Linked DNA regions of Caenorhabditis elegans. The protein of the gene in region 1 interacts with the protein of each later gene in a pairwise test. Each region holds a gene or a part of one and is shown in the gene's direction. Other genes may lie near its edges.

Region 1 (4,530 bases):
GTAGGACAGGCATTTCTTGCGGTATTGACGACACGCAAAGTGCTTTTTGTACTTGGCGGCGCAGATTTTTTGGAAGTTTAGACACTGCTCCAATGGGCTCACTTGAACATGGGTCTGGAATTTTCTCATTATTTTTATTTATAAACGGTAGTTATTATTTATTTAAATAAGGCTATAACACTCTATAACTCACTGAATTACTCGTCAATGTTGAATTATTGACTTCAATTTCTGGCAAGTTATATTTTCTACAGTGTCTTCTGAAAGTCTTGCAAGCATAATGTTTCTTGTACTTTTGACTACATTTTTTCTGCAGTTTCAAGCATTCGCCAGCGGTTTTTGGGTTTCGTGAGGTCTGAAAATTGTTCTTATAGGTAAACTATATTTAAAAATCTTAAAATGCAAAAATACTGAGAACGTTTGAGAACTTAAAAATTTTTATCATGGCTCAAAGTTGAACTTGCCTTTTTCAAAAATTTCAAGAGTTTTCTATAAAACTGGTCTATTAAGGCCAATTTTGAATCAATTTAAGTAATAACTTTACTCCAAAAAGCGAAATTACCTTTGATTTTCCCCTTTTCGAAATAGCCGCATCATATTCACAATTTTTCTCGAAAAAGTAGCAATGACCGTTGTACTTCTTTACGGCAAGGCAGTTTTTCTTCAAATCGTCACATTCAAATGAAACATCTTGCAGATCGGTTGTAGAGTTTCCCTAAAACAACGCAAAAATTACTTTTCTACTTTAATAAAAACTTACCACAGCGCCCAAAATGTTCACAATGGTCTCGTTTGATTTTAAGTGTCCACACCAAGATGGGCAGAGTCTTCCTTGAGATTCGTGGGTGGAATTTGAAGAATCGTCAAGGAGCAAAGCTTGAACTTTGTCTGGTTGGGAACAAGCCTCACATTGACATAGGTTAATATAGCAGGCCGAGTCAGAGAAGTAGAAGCAATAGTTGGCATCGCTGAAATATTTTTGTCAATAAATTTAGTCGAAACGTTAAAAGTACAATAATCTAAAACGGTATTTTCAGCCTCTCATTTAAAATTCCTGTTTATATTAATTCTTCGAATACATAACAGTAAGTAACAAAATGATGGTCCTCCAACACTTTCATTTAAAAAAAAAACTCACAGAATGTCGCAAATATCCGCCGTCTCCAAAACTCCAACAAAAGTCAGCGAAATAAACAAAACCACCAACCGTGATACCATCTTGTCAAAAAAGTTGAAAATAGAGATAGCGATATATTGTGTCTCCGCACCTGTCCTTGAAAAATAAAATTTCAAATTCGCAAACCTCCCCCTTATTCTGGCAAATGGATGAGAAGGGTGACCTACTTTTTCTACCGATATTGGAATTTTAGTAGCAGTTGAAAATGAGGAAAAGCGAACTGTAGGAGGAAAGTGAGAAAAAAAGAAGACGTATGGACATCAAGTGCACTTGAGATTTTAGGGCATTGGGAGGGAAACTGGATGAAATGGTTTGTTATTATTGACAAAATTATTTTATTAGATTCAGAAATGAATGGACATTTTCAAGTGATCATATGGTTTTGAAATTAGTTGGAACGAGTCTTACCAAAAACAAGATACGGTGCCAGAAATTATTCGCACTACTACGTTAATCATTTGTAAAACCTAATAATTTTGAAAAACTTGGTCAAGGTTGATTATCTAAAATGTCTATAGAAAATAGGTTATACGCAATGGAATGTGTACTTTTAAAAGTTTTATGTAGCCGGGAGCGAGAGTGGTCTCGATGACACGAAAAACAATTGCAGAGGGCGGGGGGCAATTTCGAATGCGTTGAGCTTTTTTCACATGATACTCATAACGCAAGGCTTACACTTGACCTATTGTTTAAATCGATGAAGACATATGCACACTAAAACGACTGCGGCAAAAAATTTGATATGAAACTTGATATTTGATTATTGAAATTTTTGAGTCTTTGTTTTTGCATTTTATGGTTTTTTTGTATGCAAAAATTATTGCAAGTTCAGCTGTTAGTAAATTTGTAGGCAATCAGGCAGGCACCAAGTTTTACTTTTTATTCAATTTTTTTGTCGACAAACTGGGCAAGTCTGCAAATTGTCGGTTTGCCGGTTTGCCGAAAATATTCGATTTGTCGGGGGTTTTTTATAAGACGAAACACTGTGCTTTTTTGAAGTTTTTTCCCCCATTTTCTTAAGATATTTTCATAGAATTCGTATATTTTTCAAAATTGATGTAGGAACATTCATAGGATGCGTGCAATTTTGTCAATTAAAATTGAAATTCTGAAATTTCCGAAAAAATACACAAAACCACAACTTTGAGCAACCTTTTTTTCAAATTCCTTTTTCCTCTCAAATTTTACATGCATCATAATATTCATCATTTGAGGAAATTTAAATATTCATACTTCATCAACATATTTCGAAATACTTTTAATCCCATTTCACCAACAATGGACTTGTACATTTTCTAATTTGCACTTCCCAAATCTATCCTAAAATCAGTTAATTGTAATGGAAACCTTCGAGAGCTCATCACGCGATTTTTCGCCACCGGCCACTTCATCTGACTCACAAACGTGCACACACAAAATGCGTGCTCAACATTTGAGCTCAGAAGCTAAGAGATGGGAGGAGCAGAGACGCACGAGCATGCACGTCTCTATGGTAACATACGGGAGCTAGAGAGTAAGCTTCTCTTCTCTCACTTGCAGACGTTGTCCTCATTCTCTCTCCTTCTCTCTCACACGTTTCCGGTTTTTCGTTCGAATTCTATTCTGGTATTCCTATCCCTTGACCTCTCACAAAAATGGGACTCATCGATGTTCTGAAATCATTCAAGTCACCCAGTGGCCGCGAAATCCGAATCCTTCTACTAGGACTCGACAACGCCGGTAAGACGACAATACTGAAGCAGCTGTCCTCTGAAGATGTTCAACACGTCACACCGACCAAGGGATTCAACGTGAAGACTGTCGCCGCTATGGGTGACATACGTCTAAACGTCTGGGACATCGGAGGTCAGCGATCGATTCGTCCGTATTGGTCCAACTACTACGAAAATATCGACACACTGATCTTCGTGATCGATAGTAATGACAAGAAGCGGTTCGACGAGATGAACATTGAGCTCGGCGAACTGCTTGACGAGGAGAAGCTTCGCAAGGTTCCGGTGCTCATATTTGCTAATAAACAGGATCTTGTCACAGCAGCGTCATCAGAGGAAATTACCAGAAAGTAAGTATTTTTCTTCAACAATAACAATTTATGGTTGTTAAAACGAATGACCTGGTTTGTCCTTTGCCTTCATACATAAAAAGCGAATGCCATTTCCCTCAAGGACTTTTTCTCTAATAAGCTAAACCTTCTTATATTAATAACACTGATAGAAATAGAAAATGTATTCATTCAGTTTTTTTTGAAAAGTTATCATCAGCTCACATCCAATTTCAAATTGCAATAAAAATGCATTGACAGCTTAATTCCTAAACTCCAAATTCTAATCTCCAAAATCACCTTCAGACTAAACCTGGACCTTCTCCGCGACCGCACTTGGCACATTCAAGCCTGCTCAGCGCTCAAAAACGAGGGCATCAACGACGGAATCACTTGGGTTGCTAGTAACCTGAAACCGGCTTCTAAAAAATAGATCATTGTATAATCCCACACAAAAAATCTTCCAGGGAGTATACAGTATTACCAGTGTTGCCCTAAGTTATCAATCGAGCGCAAGTGCTTCTCTCCCCACCATCTCTATCCATTTACAATATCTCTGTGGCAGTCTCTCATGCTTAGTATCTCCTTTTCCATGTTTTTTTCGTATATCAGTTAATAAATATCATACCACGTGGATTTATTAATAATTTTTTTAAATAGTGAATGTAATTGGCATTTATTTAAAAAAATTAAATTTCAGACACTCATCAGCTCACATCCAATTTCAGTGGAAACCTATAAGAAGGAAGTTGAAAATGTAAGGGTAGTACATAACTAAAGTGCCAATTAATTTCAATTTTGGATATTTCTAGGAAAACAAACCCCATCGAGTTTGGAAATTTTTTCTGAATTGTTTTTTAAAGAAAAAATAATTTTTTTTGAATTTTGTAAATGAAATTTTGGAAAATTATTAAAAGTACCTTAATCAACTATGGCTAACTGAACATTTTACTTGAACAATTTGAATCACCAAAATAACTGTTAGGAATAATTTTAAGTGCATCCAGAATTGTCCAGAGAATCAAAAATTCAGAGTTTTCTATCAAATCCAATTTATACCTCCACCACCCCAAACCAATTTTAACATTTAGGCCGTTGAGCTGCTCTACTCTGCTGATCATTTCCACTATTTCTTCACCGATCGAGACGGAACTTTGAAAAGTTATTCGTGCAGTTATCCGTCAAGTATTCAGCCAGCATATTCTGGAGTCATTCAGGTATGCAAATATGGAAAATTGGAGAATTTGTAGATATTATTTAAGTTTTAGAAAAAGGGTTCAAAAAAGTTTGCTCTGTTGCTCTCTGCTCTGTT
Region 2 (3,868 bases), 7.4 Mb from region 1:
AGTATTTTTATAGAATTTTTAACTTGCTACAAAAATTTGATTTCGATGCAATTGTTGCCCTTTGTATTTTGAAAGTATACTATTTTTGAAGAGAGAGGTAGAAAAATCTAAAGATAACATTGAAAAGTATTTTGTTAAGCAAACAACTTTCAATGTTTGAATGCTTGTTTTGTCACTTGGAGCTTGTATTTTGTAAATGTTTTCTGTAGTTTTGATTGAAAGCTTTTCCCATCTTCACAGACGATGTATTGCACAGTCTTATTTTCGGTAAAACTCAAAAACCCGAGGCAGAAACTTCAGGAGTTAAAAAATTAGACTTAAATATGTATAGAAGAAACATAGAACCTTTCGATTTGCTCGAACTCGAACTTCAAATTCTTTTTTTTTAACCTAGAAAATGTTAGAAAATGTTCGATGTAAACTGAATATGCACTGCACTTGTAACTGCATTTGTTGTGTGTGTGAATCACTTGGAAGTTCATGTAAATAACAGTATATAACTTCAAGGGTTATAAAAGGCACACCTTACATCAAAAATAATTTTCTTTTTTCCTGCTGTTGTGATTTTGCAATAAAATGCCCACATTTTCCAAACAAAAATGTTCTCAAAGTCTTAAACCCTGTTCATCAGCCACCTCGTGAATATACTTAACAATTCAAGTGACTCCATGACTCCGCCTACATTCGTTCCCTCATCTAGCTCACCGTTTTAACATTCAGACTTTTCTCATTTCCCTCCGATCGTCTTAAAATCCTTCTTCCTTTTTCTCTCCATTTCCGTCATTTTCGTCTTCTTTTTCCTTTTTTTTTCACAATTTTCCTTCTTCTTCTTCTTCTTCTTCTTCTTCAACTCAATAGAGCCTTTCCCTGTGTCTCTTTTTCTCCTTTCTGCCATCTTCACTTCTTTCGCATATTTCTCTATTTCTCTCATCCCAACGACGCGCTCTTTTCGGTTAATTTGGAGCTTTCTCCGTCCACCGCAGTCGGGGTTGAGCTGGGAGCAACGAGAAGGCCGTGAAAACATTGTGCCAGAGACTGCGCTTCCTCTAAAATTTCGTAAAAACTTTTTCACGCCTTTTCTATCACATCATCTCACCTCGTCTTGCCTCTTGAAATTGAATATGTTTTGGTCGACTTTTTAAATTTATTTATTTGCTTTCTTTCATACACACCAAAATTGTTTGGAAATTTTAATTACATGCAAAAATTTGCACATATTTTTTTGTTCTGTTTGTTTCAATTCCTACTTTCAATTTGTAGGTTATCTAAACGATACAAAATTTTCAGAATTACAAATAAGTTCAAATAATATTTTTTTAAAAATACATTTTCTGTTTAAACACTACAATCGACTATTTATGTAGATTTTCTGAAGAAAATTTTCTATTGCAATTTCTGCGTTATAAGTGCCCGACTTACTAGTCATAGCTTTATCTAGGGAATTATTGAAATAATATGATATTTCTCTAAATTATCACCTAATCCCATCCTGCTCAAACCACAGAACCGTCGAATTACGAAAAGAAATATATAAGCAGTAATATATAATTGTATGAATACGAGTTACTTCTCTTATTCTCTTCCCTTTTTCATAAAATGTAAGTGCCACTTATAACACGACTTCCTTTATGAATTCAATGATCTCCACGTGTTCTTTTTTTCATAATGACCACTCTTCGGGAACACTCATTTTTTATGCTCTTTTTCCGGCAATCGTCACTTTTCGTCAATATTGACTTTTCCTTGTTCCTAAGATGACCGGTTCCTCTTTCTTGTGCCTCGGTCTGTCGTCATTTCCTCAAAACATCACTTTCTTCAGAGAGTAGAGCTCCAGTCATGGCCACTACCGCTACTCGTCATCAAGATTCTAAATTGAGCGAAAAGGCAGAGAGCATTCTGGCTGGCTTCAAGCTCAACTGGATGAACTTGCGTGATGCAGAAACTGGAAAAGTTCTCTGGCAGAGCACAGAAGACATGGCTGACCCAAAAAGGGAACACAAAGGTAATAAGAATTTCAAAAAAAGTCTCGGAATAAACCAATCATCACAAACACTATGCCTGGGGCGGTAAGTAATATCGTCACTGACAACACGAGGGAACGAACGCGAGAGCGTCTCCCCCCAATGCGCGCGCACATCCACTGCGCCATTCTGCCACAGCTAGCAAGCAACACTGAGCGTGTAGTTAAGCCTTCACATGTCTTTTACCGCTGGTCTCTAATGCAATGCGTTTTTCCTACAAAAATAGAATTGCTTGAAGCCAACAAATAAAAACTAATGGATTGCAGCACACGTGCCAAAGAATCTTCTAAAATGTCGTACGGTGTCTCGTGAGATCAACTTCACTTCATCAGTCAAAATCGAAAAATTTCGACTCGAGCAACGCGTTTATTTGAAGGGAACCATCATTGAAGGTAAGATAGAATCACTCGAATATTCATTATGTTATTGCACGCAATGGATGAATAATATTGGCTTCTGGTGATGAAAACTAATTATGTATTCCGACTTCAGAGTGGTATTTCGATTTTGGATTTGTCATTCCTGATTCAACAAACACGTGGCAAAATATGATTGAGGCAGCTCCAGAATCACAAATGTTCCCACCATCTGTACTCAGGTAAGTAAAACAAGTGCAAAAGTACTAGATTTCTAAGCTTCAAAGCTTCACTTCAAGATACTAGAAACAGAAACATGCAAACCTTAATAGTTATTAGGTAAACATGACCGAGTATCGTAATCAAACATTTTTTATATCAGTCAGCGTTTTGGTAAATTGGCAAAAATTCAAAAATTGGGTTTTTGAGTAATTTCAAACATTGCTGTAGGATTTTACCAATACAGTGTTTTTTATAAAAATTAAAACAGACTTTCAATATTTGTACTGGTGAAAACTGAGTAATTACCGATAGTTTTTTTTTTGAGTTTTGAAACGTTTTAGTATTCTTTATGGTATGTAATTTTCGTACCACAGGAGATGCTGCACACCATCTTATATATAACTACTTAATCCTACTATAAAAATAACATTAAATTGTGTTCGAGGCCTTGACATTTCGAACGATTGAAAATACAATCTCAATTTTTCAGCGGAAACGTCGTCGTCGAGACTTTATTCTATGATGGAGATCTTCTTGTAAGCACGTCTCGAGTCCGTCTTTATTACGACTAATACATATACATTCATATCCATTTTTCCCTTCTAATCCTTCCCTGTTTCTCCATGGATCTCTCTTTTTTAATTCCTAAAACAATACATACCTAATTTTAATATTCAATTTCAGAATGAAAATCTTCAACGGATTTATTTATTCATCTATGTACATATGAATATATTTTACAAATTGAATAGCTCAGGAAAATTGTCCCAAAAATACATTTAGATTGCAGTGTTCACAAATGAAGCATTGACACGTGATAGCTTCTGGCGACTCATGTCGTTCGACTGAAAAATAGGAAGAACTGAAAATAATTGAAAAATGAAAGGACATGCATCAATCTTACCACAATTGTGTTTGTCCCGTTACGACGGAAACGGAGAAGTTCGTGGCACCGGCGACGGAATTCGAGACGGAAAAAGTAAAAGATGGGAAGGTTGAAACAAGATTGGAAACCATAGAGAAGATAGGCAACACCTGGAAACATTAACTATTTGAAAAAAATAATTTAAAGTTAATTCTTAATTAATTCTTAAGTTAATTAAGAATTAACTAGCTTTTCTTTCTAGTTTATATGTTATTATCTCATTATTCAAAGTGATATTGAAATGTTATTTCAGACTTCAATTTTAGTGTTTGACAGTTCATTTTGGTCAAGGCTTTGACAAGAGTTGAACTAGTTAAATTGGTTGAACTAGAACAGTCTTGACC
Region 3 (7,829 bases), on another chromosome or scaffold:
ATATTTCAATTTGGGTTTTCCAATTTTTATATTTTTATTTTCCAGTTAGCTCCAAAAAAAAAAAGATTTCTTGAAAAAAATTTCAATAAAAAAGTTTTAACGAAACTGAGGTTTCACGTGGTGTCAGAGTGTCTCATATCGGTTTGATCTACGTTGATCTACAAAAAATGCAGGAGTTGAGACGCAGACTTCTCAACTTATTTCGCATGATTAAGAACGTGCTGACGTCACATTTTTTGGCCGAAAAATTCCCGCATCTTGTAGATCAAACCGTGATGGGATAGGCTGACACTACGTGAGGTTTTTAAAATTCAATTTTGCAATTGTCATATTTTCCAGCTTGTTCAAAAAATATTCAAAAAGTGAAAAAGTGATGCGAGGTTTTTTTTTTGGTTTTTAATAAACCCAGTTTATTAAAAAAATCTTATTTTTCTATTTTCGGGTTTTCAATTTTCCTTTTTTCATACTTTTCGAAATCTTAATTTTCTTTCTATTCGGGTTTTTTTTTAGAAAAAAAACATATTTTTCGGTTTTTTCAACTTTTAGATTTTCTGGAAAAAAATTCGACAAAAAGTTTGAATAGAAATTAGAGACAATTCTCCTCGTGGAGTACACACGAGCTGCGTAAATCGACAAAACACCGTCATTTCAAAAAGTGAAATTCTGAGCGCCACCAAAAATCCCCTTTTTTCTTTTTTGCAAAAACCCCGAAAATGTTAAAATTTTTCCAGATCAGTCGCCACCGCTACGTGCACCAACCACTTCCAGACACTCCAGAACGGTATTGGGATTTGACAATGGGACCACGAGATGAGGACAGCGGAAATCATGTACAAATGACACAGAGCCGACGATGGGAAGATATAGCAGAGAAAATGGAATGGCCGACTGGAATCAATACGTGGAATTAATTGAAACATATCACTTCTTATTTTATTTATTTTCATATGAATATGTGTATTTATTGATTTTTTAGCCAAAAAACCTCTGTGGCCTAGTTTTACAAATCCTAGGGCACATTCTCAAAATTAGCGAATATTTCAAAAAGAACGATTTCTCTGGAAAATCGCACAGTTGGTGTGCGCAATTTTCACAATTTCCTCGTGGCCGAGCTTTGAAATCTTAGGTCATGATTCATGATATTCTCCACTAGAACTCACAAACACATATTACTGGAACTGAGAATGCGTATTACACAACGTATTTGACGCGCAAAATATCTCGTAGCGAAAACTACAGTAATTCCTTTAATGACTACTGTAATGTCGATTTACGGGCTCAGCGATATTCAATTTTCTTTAGTTTTTTTTCAAATTGTTATTTTTCACCGATATATAAATTATTTCCGTAAATCAACACAACCGCTACAGTACACGTTTAAAGAAGTACTGTAGTTTTCGCTACGAGATATTTTGCGCGTTGATTGTAAAATCGAAACAAAAGAATAATAATAATTGCTCTGAAATTAGATTACTCCTGCTCAATTTCGTTGCTACATATTTTTATGGCTCTTTTTCTCTGGCTACTCCCCTCCTTCAGTCATAATTCCATGCTTTGTCGGCTCGACACGGCTCATTTTCACCAATTTTCTCGCTGAAATTTGAGTTTTTAGATTTTTATTCATGTTTTAGTTTTCAATTTTGAATTTGAATTCCAAAGCCACGCACATTTTTTTTGCAATTTTTTAGAGTTAAAATAGACATCTCGCAGAAAATTTGAATTACCCGCCAAAATTTGTTCACAAAAAATTTGAAATTCTGTTTTTTTTTTCAGAATGACCGGCGGAAATGAGCAGCGGGCCGGAACCGCCAAAGGACGACGTGGAGCACAAGACTGTGAGCACTTTTTCCATTTTTTTTTAACCCAAAGACCTTGAAATGACTTAAAAAATAACGAAAAAACAAAAATAATCACCTGGTATTTGCTAAAAATAGTTAAAAGTGTTCCTATTTTTGGAAAATCTGTCTGAAAAAATATGTTTTTTTTCTTCTTTTTTGAAACATTTTTAAACATTGGCAACGACACTCCAACATCCCGCAGCTGGCCGTTGCTGAAAAATTTCTAGGCCTCGAGTGACGTCACTACTGATCAGTCTCAGGCCACGTGAATTTCTAGGCCACCGATAGCGTCATTTCTTTTCCAATTGCGAGCACACCCAGGACAAATTTGAAATTCTCTTCCATTTGCGTTTACAAAGTTTTCTAGGCCATCGGTGACGTCATTACTCTTCCAATAACGGTTCTTCTGCTTTCTAGGCCACAAGTGACGTCATGGCATTGCCTATGCCATTTTCACTCTTCCATTAGAAGCTGTGGAGGTTTTTAGGCCATCTATGACGTCATATATATATATTTTTTTTTCCATTTTTCACAAATCCCAGTTACTTTTCACAAGCCGGATCGTCATTTACAAAACGAAATAAAAAAGAGGAAATCATGTTATTCATGTTTTTAGTTCCTCTTCATCACATGCACACTCGCTTCTCTTCCTCCCTCTATTTAGTATGTGCCACGTCTCTTTTAAGCCCCCGACAGCTACCCCTCCATTTTTTCCCTCTCGTTCCTCTTGACATTTTGCTTTTCGTTTCCGCTTTTTCTTTTTTGTCTCCTTTTTCTCGTGTCTTATGTTCTTGGAAGGAAGAAGAGAGAAGCTTTATAATCACCATGGTAACGGGGGTGCTCCGCGAGCTCCAAGAACAACGCAATTAGTGGAAATGAGAACAAGAGAAGGGGGCTTAGAAGCATCCTGAAATGTGTGTGGAAGAGGAATGACTTCATAAGTAATGCTGGCCTAGAAACCTTCAAAACCTCCCGTGAACGAGAGATGACGCCATGAATATCAGTGCTCGGAAACCTCACTTTCAGTGACCTAAGATTCTGCACGGCCACCATAATGACGTCACTAGAAGCCTATAAAATGCAAGTGGCCTAGAAACCGTCCAGGGTACGGCCAACAAAAAGTGGCTAAAAAGATTAATAGCATCATATTTAATAGATGCTATTTATATGATGACTGGCAACAAAAGAATGCCAATTTTCTCTCCAAAAGTAGCTCCAAAGTTCGGTGGCCTAGAAATCCATCTACGGCCGCCTACATGACGTCACTCATAGCCTAGAAACCACGGGCGACCAACAATTTTCGAAAAAATTGTGAGAAAAAAGTCGAAAATTCTCCGGAAATGTTTGCGAGAAGAAGTTCGGTGTTCAAAGACAATATTTGACCAGGTTCCTTTTTCTGCAATAAACAAACATTTTCCCTTTCCCTCTTGGGGAAAACGGGCGGCTCCAATCGGAAACGCGAACAATTTTTATTATGCTTGTCTATTCCTAGACGATTATTGGTTCCCACAAATGAATTTGAAATTATTGTGAAACTCTAGTTATTTTGCAATTGTTTTGTGCCAAGCTTCAGTAAAAGAAGTAGAATTTTATAGTTTTTTTTCTGTTTGAAAAATTCTCCCCATCAATGTTCTTTCAAATAAATACATCACTAATGCAAAGTATTCTATAACCTCATATCTAAATTCTTCAAAATCTTAACATATCTTATCATTGCTTTAAGTCAAACGTAACATTAAAAAAAATGTTTTGGAAAATGTGTCAAGTCTCTCAAAATTCAGTTTTTTAAACCACTCCTATAGTCCTATAGTCCTATAGTTACCCATGAAATCCTTATATATTACTGTAAAATGTTTCAAAAACCATTGGCAAATTGCCAGAACTGAAAATTTCCGGCAAATTGGGGAACCGGCAAATTGCCAATTTGCTGAATTTGCCGGAAAAACGGTAATTGCCGAAAGTTTTTGACACGAAAATGGCAAATTGTGGTTTTAAAATTTTTTTTTTTGGAAATTTCAGAATTTCAATTTTAATCGGCAAAACTGTAGGCATCCTAAGAATGTTCCTACATCTATTTTGAAAAGTAAGCGAATTCTATGAAAATGTCTAAAGAAAATGGGGAAACAATTTCAAAAAGGCACAGTTTCAAGTGTTTCCGAATTATACTAAATCCCTCTAAAAACTTCCGGCAAATTGATATCCGTAAAAGAGCAAATCCGCATTTTTGCCGAAAATTAAAATTTCCGACAAATCGGCAAACCGGCAATTTGGCGAAATTTGCCGGAAGGCAATTGCCGCCCACCCCTGTTCCAGAGGTTCAAACTGGTAGCAAAGCTCAAAATTTCTCAAATTCTCCAATTTTTTTTTGAATTTTGGCAGTGTACCAAAATGACATTCAGTCATATTGGTTTATTATAGATTTATTTAGATAAAATCCTAAATGATTCTACCTTTAAAGATGCCCACTTTAAAAGTAATGACTCAAACTTCAAATTGCTCTAAGATTCTATTGAATTACCATCTTTTCCTCTCATTTTCTCTCACTGTCTATTTCATCACAAATTCATCCCTCTCTCCCTCTCTTTCTCTCTCCCTCTCTCTCTTTCTCTTTGCTCATCATCTGTCATTTTGTCCGTTCCTCTCTCTGCGCCCTCAGCGTTCCCCACACTCTCTCGCTTCTCTTTTCCTAGACGTCTTCTTTTTTCATCTTCTTCAGCCCTTTTTCGCCATTTTCCATCTCTGTCAATCATTACGGACGACCCCCATTAATTTTTGGATGTGCTCTGCGAGCAAGAGCACACGGAACTCATTTATTTTTTGTTGGAATTTCTTTTTCATTTTAGTTAGTTAAAAGGTTATTCAGTGCAAAAATTGATTTTTTGCTCTTTTGGTACATTAGAGGGGTTTGAAAGTTTTCCATAAAAAGGGTTTCCGGAGTAAAAAATCTAAAAATTTTTACAAACATTTCCAAAAATTTTGGGAACATATCTTTTCAAAAACTCAAAAAAAAACGCAAACATCATAAATTTAATCAATTAATTGGATGCGTTCAAATATTTTAAAAATATTTTTGAATTGCATATTTCTTTACTCATAAAAAAATTATTAATGTTTAAGTAAAAAAAATATTTCAGGATTTTAAACAAAAACTGTAAATCCCATAAAACAGTGTTATTTTTTAGTTATTTTTAGTAATTATTTGTGAATTAAAAACACATTTTTTTTCAAAATATTCCTTGAATAAATAAAATTGAAAGTGAATTCAAAATATTTCACCAATTTTACAAAATTTGAAAATTTGAAAAAATATTTTCTACCAAATTGTGCTCAAAAAATATTATTAAGTTCCCAGGAAATTTATGATGAAAACTTGGAATATTTTTGGTAAAATTTTCTCAAAAAATTGAAAGTTGTCAAAAACACACTAACACTATACCTCGCGGCATAGAAAAAACTGGTGGCCGAATTTTTTAAACCAATTTAAATTAAATATATTTTTGCACTTTGTACAAAAAAATTTGAAGTTCCCAGGAAATTCATACGGAAATATTTTCCAGAACTTTTATAATTTTTATTTTAATTCTCAAAATTTACAATAAAAACTTGGAAACCTGAAATTTGCTTAAAGAATAACCCTATCCCCCACGGCCTAGAAAATACTGGTGGCCGAATTTTTTCCGCAGCCACACCACCTCTAATCTCCAGAGCACTCTCCAAAATTCCCATAATCCCCAAAATTTTCAGCTACAACAGCATATATGAAGGCAGAGCAACAACAACAATCGATCGCACCCGGCTCGGCAACCTTCCCGTCTCAGGTGAGGAAGACGCAGAGAAATGAGAGAGAGAGCGTGTTTATGCACGCAGTATACTAACTCCTGATATCCAATTTCATATATCGATATGCTTGCTTTCTTTTCTTCTACGTTGAAATTGTTTGAACTTTTCTCAAAAAACGCGGATTTTAGAGAGACTTAGAGTTGCTCCAAATAAATTTAATTTGCAATTTTGCACTTACTATTAGAATCTACTTTTATAGCGCTAAAATGACCGAATAACACAGTAGATTTTAAAAGAAAATTTTAAAAATTATTTTTTTGTGCAGTCAAATTTCGCTAGTTTTTGCCACTCATTTTTGAACATTTGTATATGTGCCTTTCGGTGGTTCAATCAGGGGTGGCACGTGGTGTCAGAGTGTTCCATTTCGGTTTGATCTACGTTGATCTACAAAAAATGCGGGAGAAGAGACGCAGAGTTCTCAACTGATTTCACATGGTTATGAACCAGGGGTGTTCGGCAAATTTGCCGTTTGCCGAGCTGGGCAAATTTTGAGATTTGCCGCACACCCCTTTTATGAACGTGCTGACGTCACATCTTTTTGGACAAAGAATTCCCGCATTTTTTGTATATCAAACCGTGATGGGACAGCCTGGCACCACGTGGGGTTGGCGGCAAATGATTTTTTCCGACAAATCGGCAAATTGGCAAATTGCCGGAATTTAAAGTTTCTGGCAAATTGTTGATTTGCCGAAAAAAAATTTCAAAAAGGCACAGTTTTAAGTGTTTCCGTCTTATAAAATATTTCTCTAAAAATTTCCGGAAAACGGAAAATTGCCGGAAATACAAAGTTTCGTCAAATCGGCAAACCTGCAATTTGCCGAACGGCAACTGCCGCCAACACCTGGTTCCCAAAAAAGCGTGCACTGTTTGAATATTAAAAAAAAAATTCACACAAAAATAATAAATTGAAATAGGCTAAATTCACATCTATGTACAAAAATTGCATGCCAGCACCGGTCAATTTTCTCAATTACTTTTTGTCTATTTTTGCCGAACATAATTTGCTGTTTCCTTGGCAGAATACAGAAAACTCTTTTTTTTTTCAGATGCCCCGACCCCCACCGGTAACCGAACAGGCTATAACCACCGAGGCGGAGCTTCTCGCGAAAAATCAAATTACACCAAATGATGTGCTAGCTCTTCCAGGAATCACTCAAGGTAAGTGAATATTTGCTCTATTGATAAACGCGCCGTGTACTCCACGTGGACAAACATATCAAATTTTCAGGATTCCTATGCTCCCCATCGGCAAACGTCTATAACATTGAGTTCACCAAATTCCAAATCCGTGACCTCGACACGGAACACGTGCTCTTCGAAATTGCAAAACCGGAAAATGAGACGGAAGAGAATCTGCAGGCGCAAGCCGAATCGGCAAGATATGTCCGATATCGATTTGCGCCGAATTTTCTGAAATTAAAGACGGTCGGCGCGACGGTCGAGTTCAAGGTCGGCGATGTGCCGATCACACATTTTCGAATGATTGAACGGCACTTTTTCAAGGATCGTTTATTGAAATGCTTTGATTTTGAATTTGGATTCTGTATGCCAAATTCGAGAAACAACTGTGAACATATCTATGAATTTCCACAACTTTCACAACAACTCAGTGAGTTTGAAGCGGGAAAAATTATTTGAGCTCATTTTGTCAATAGAGCGAATTTTCTAGGTTTTTAAAAATAAAATAAATATTGACAAAAAGCTGCCCTACAGTAGTTCAAAATGTGAAAACTTGGAGGAAATTCGAGTTTTCTCTGAGAAGTTTTTGGCGGGTAATTCAAATTTTCTGAGAAAAAAATTAGCCGCGAGAATTCAAATTTTCTGAGAAAATTATTTGACGGGAAATTCAAAATTTCTGGAAATGTATTGAACATTTGAGAAATTTTGTTAAAAACTACATTAAACCGATAAAAAAGTTCGCAAATTTTTTTTAAGTGCTCATGGTGCATCGAAGAGAAGAATTCTTGCCAAAACTAGCCCATGAAATTAAAAATTATCGCGGAAAAAAACTGACTAATTGGAAAGTAAAATGAAATTTGCAAAAAAAAAATATGTTTTTTTGTTGTAAAATTAAAAAAAAAACTGTATATTTTCAGTGGACGACATGATCAATAATCCAAACGAGACCCGCTCCGATAGCTTCTATTTTGT

What was found. Proteins that work in one complex are often made in the same cells at the same time.
Region 2: the proteins of arl-3 (region 1) and pdl-1 interact in binary tests that used the Caenorhabditis elegans proteins (3 or more experiments, as listed by UniProt).
Region 3: the proteins of arl-3 (region 1) and unc-119 interact in binary tests that used the Caenorhabditis elegans proteins (3 or more experiments, as listed by UniProt).

The regions. Positions count from the first base shown.
Region 1 is NC_003280.10:14,604,401-14,608,930, forward strand, and holds arl-3 (ADP-ribosylation factor-like protein 3), read left to right. Parts: upstream 1-2,071; 5' UTR 2,072-2,811; coding exon 2,812-3,239; intron 3,240-3,524; coding exon 3,525-3,651; 3' UTR 3,652-3,918; downstream 3,919-4,530. Other genes in the region: tps-2 (Alpha,alpha-trehalose-phosphate synthase [UDP-forming] 2), read left to right, coding at 3,919-3,975, 4,310-4,435; pugs-2 (ShKT domain-containing protein), read right to left, coding at 1-114, 194-355, 563-715, 761-968, 1,139-1,218. UniProt on the Caenorhabditis elegans protein: GTP-binding protein that may be involved in protein trafficking; may modulate vesicle budding and uncoating within the Golgi apparatus.
Region 2 is NC_003280.10:7,181,989-7,185,856, forward strand, and holds pdl-1 (Phosphodiesterase delta-like protein), read left to right. Parts: upstream 1-1,812; 5' UTR 1,813-1,836; coding exon 1,837-2,002; intron 2,003-2,021; exon of another isoform or gene 2,022-2,090; intron 2,091-2,287; coding exon 2,288-2,413; intron 2,414-2,430; exon of another isoform or gene 2,431-2,504; intron 2,505-2,513; coding exon 2,514-2,619; intron 2,620-3,089; coding exon 3,090-3,171; 3' UTR 3,172-3,306; downstream 3,307-3,868. Other genes in the region: C27H5.6 (G_PROTEIN_RECEP_F1_2 domain-containing protein), read right to left, coding at 3,379-3,444, 3,504-3,634.
Region 3 is NC_003281.10:10,900,874-10,908,702, forward strand, and holds the start of unc-119 (Protein unc-119), read left to right. Parts: upstream 1-1,767; 5' UTR 1,768-1,774; coding exon 1,775-1,835; intron 1,836-5,582; coding exon 5,583-5,656; intron 5,657-6,724; coding exon 6,725-6,836; intron 6,837-6,906; coding exon 6,907-7,287; intron 7,288-7,774; coding exon 7,775-7,829. Other genes in the region: com-1 (DNA endonuclease activator Ctp1 C-terminal domain-containing protein), read left to right, coding at 732-911. UniProt on the Caenorhabditis elegans protein: Myristoyl-binding protein that acts as a cargo adapter: specifically binds the myristoyl moiety of a subset of N-terminally myristoylated proteins and is required for their localization. Plays a key role in ciliary membrane localization of proteins.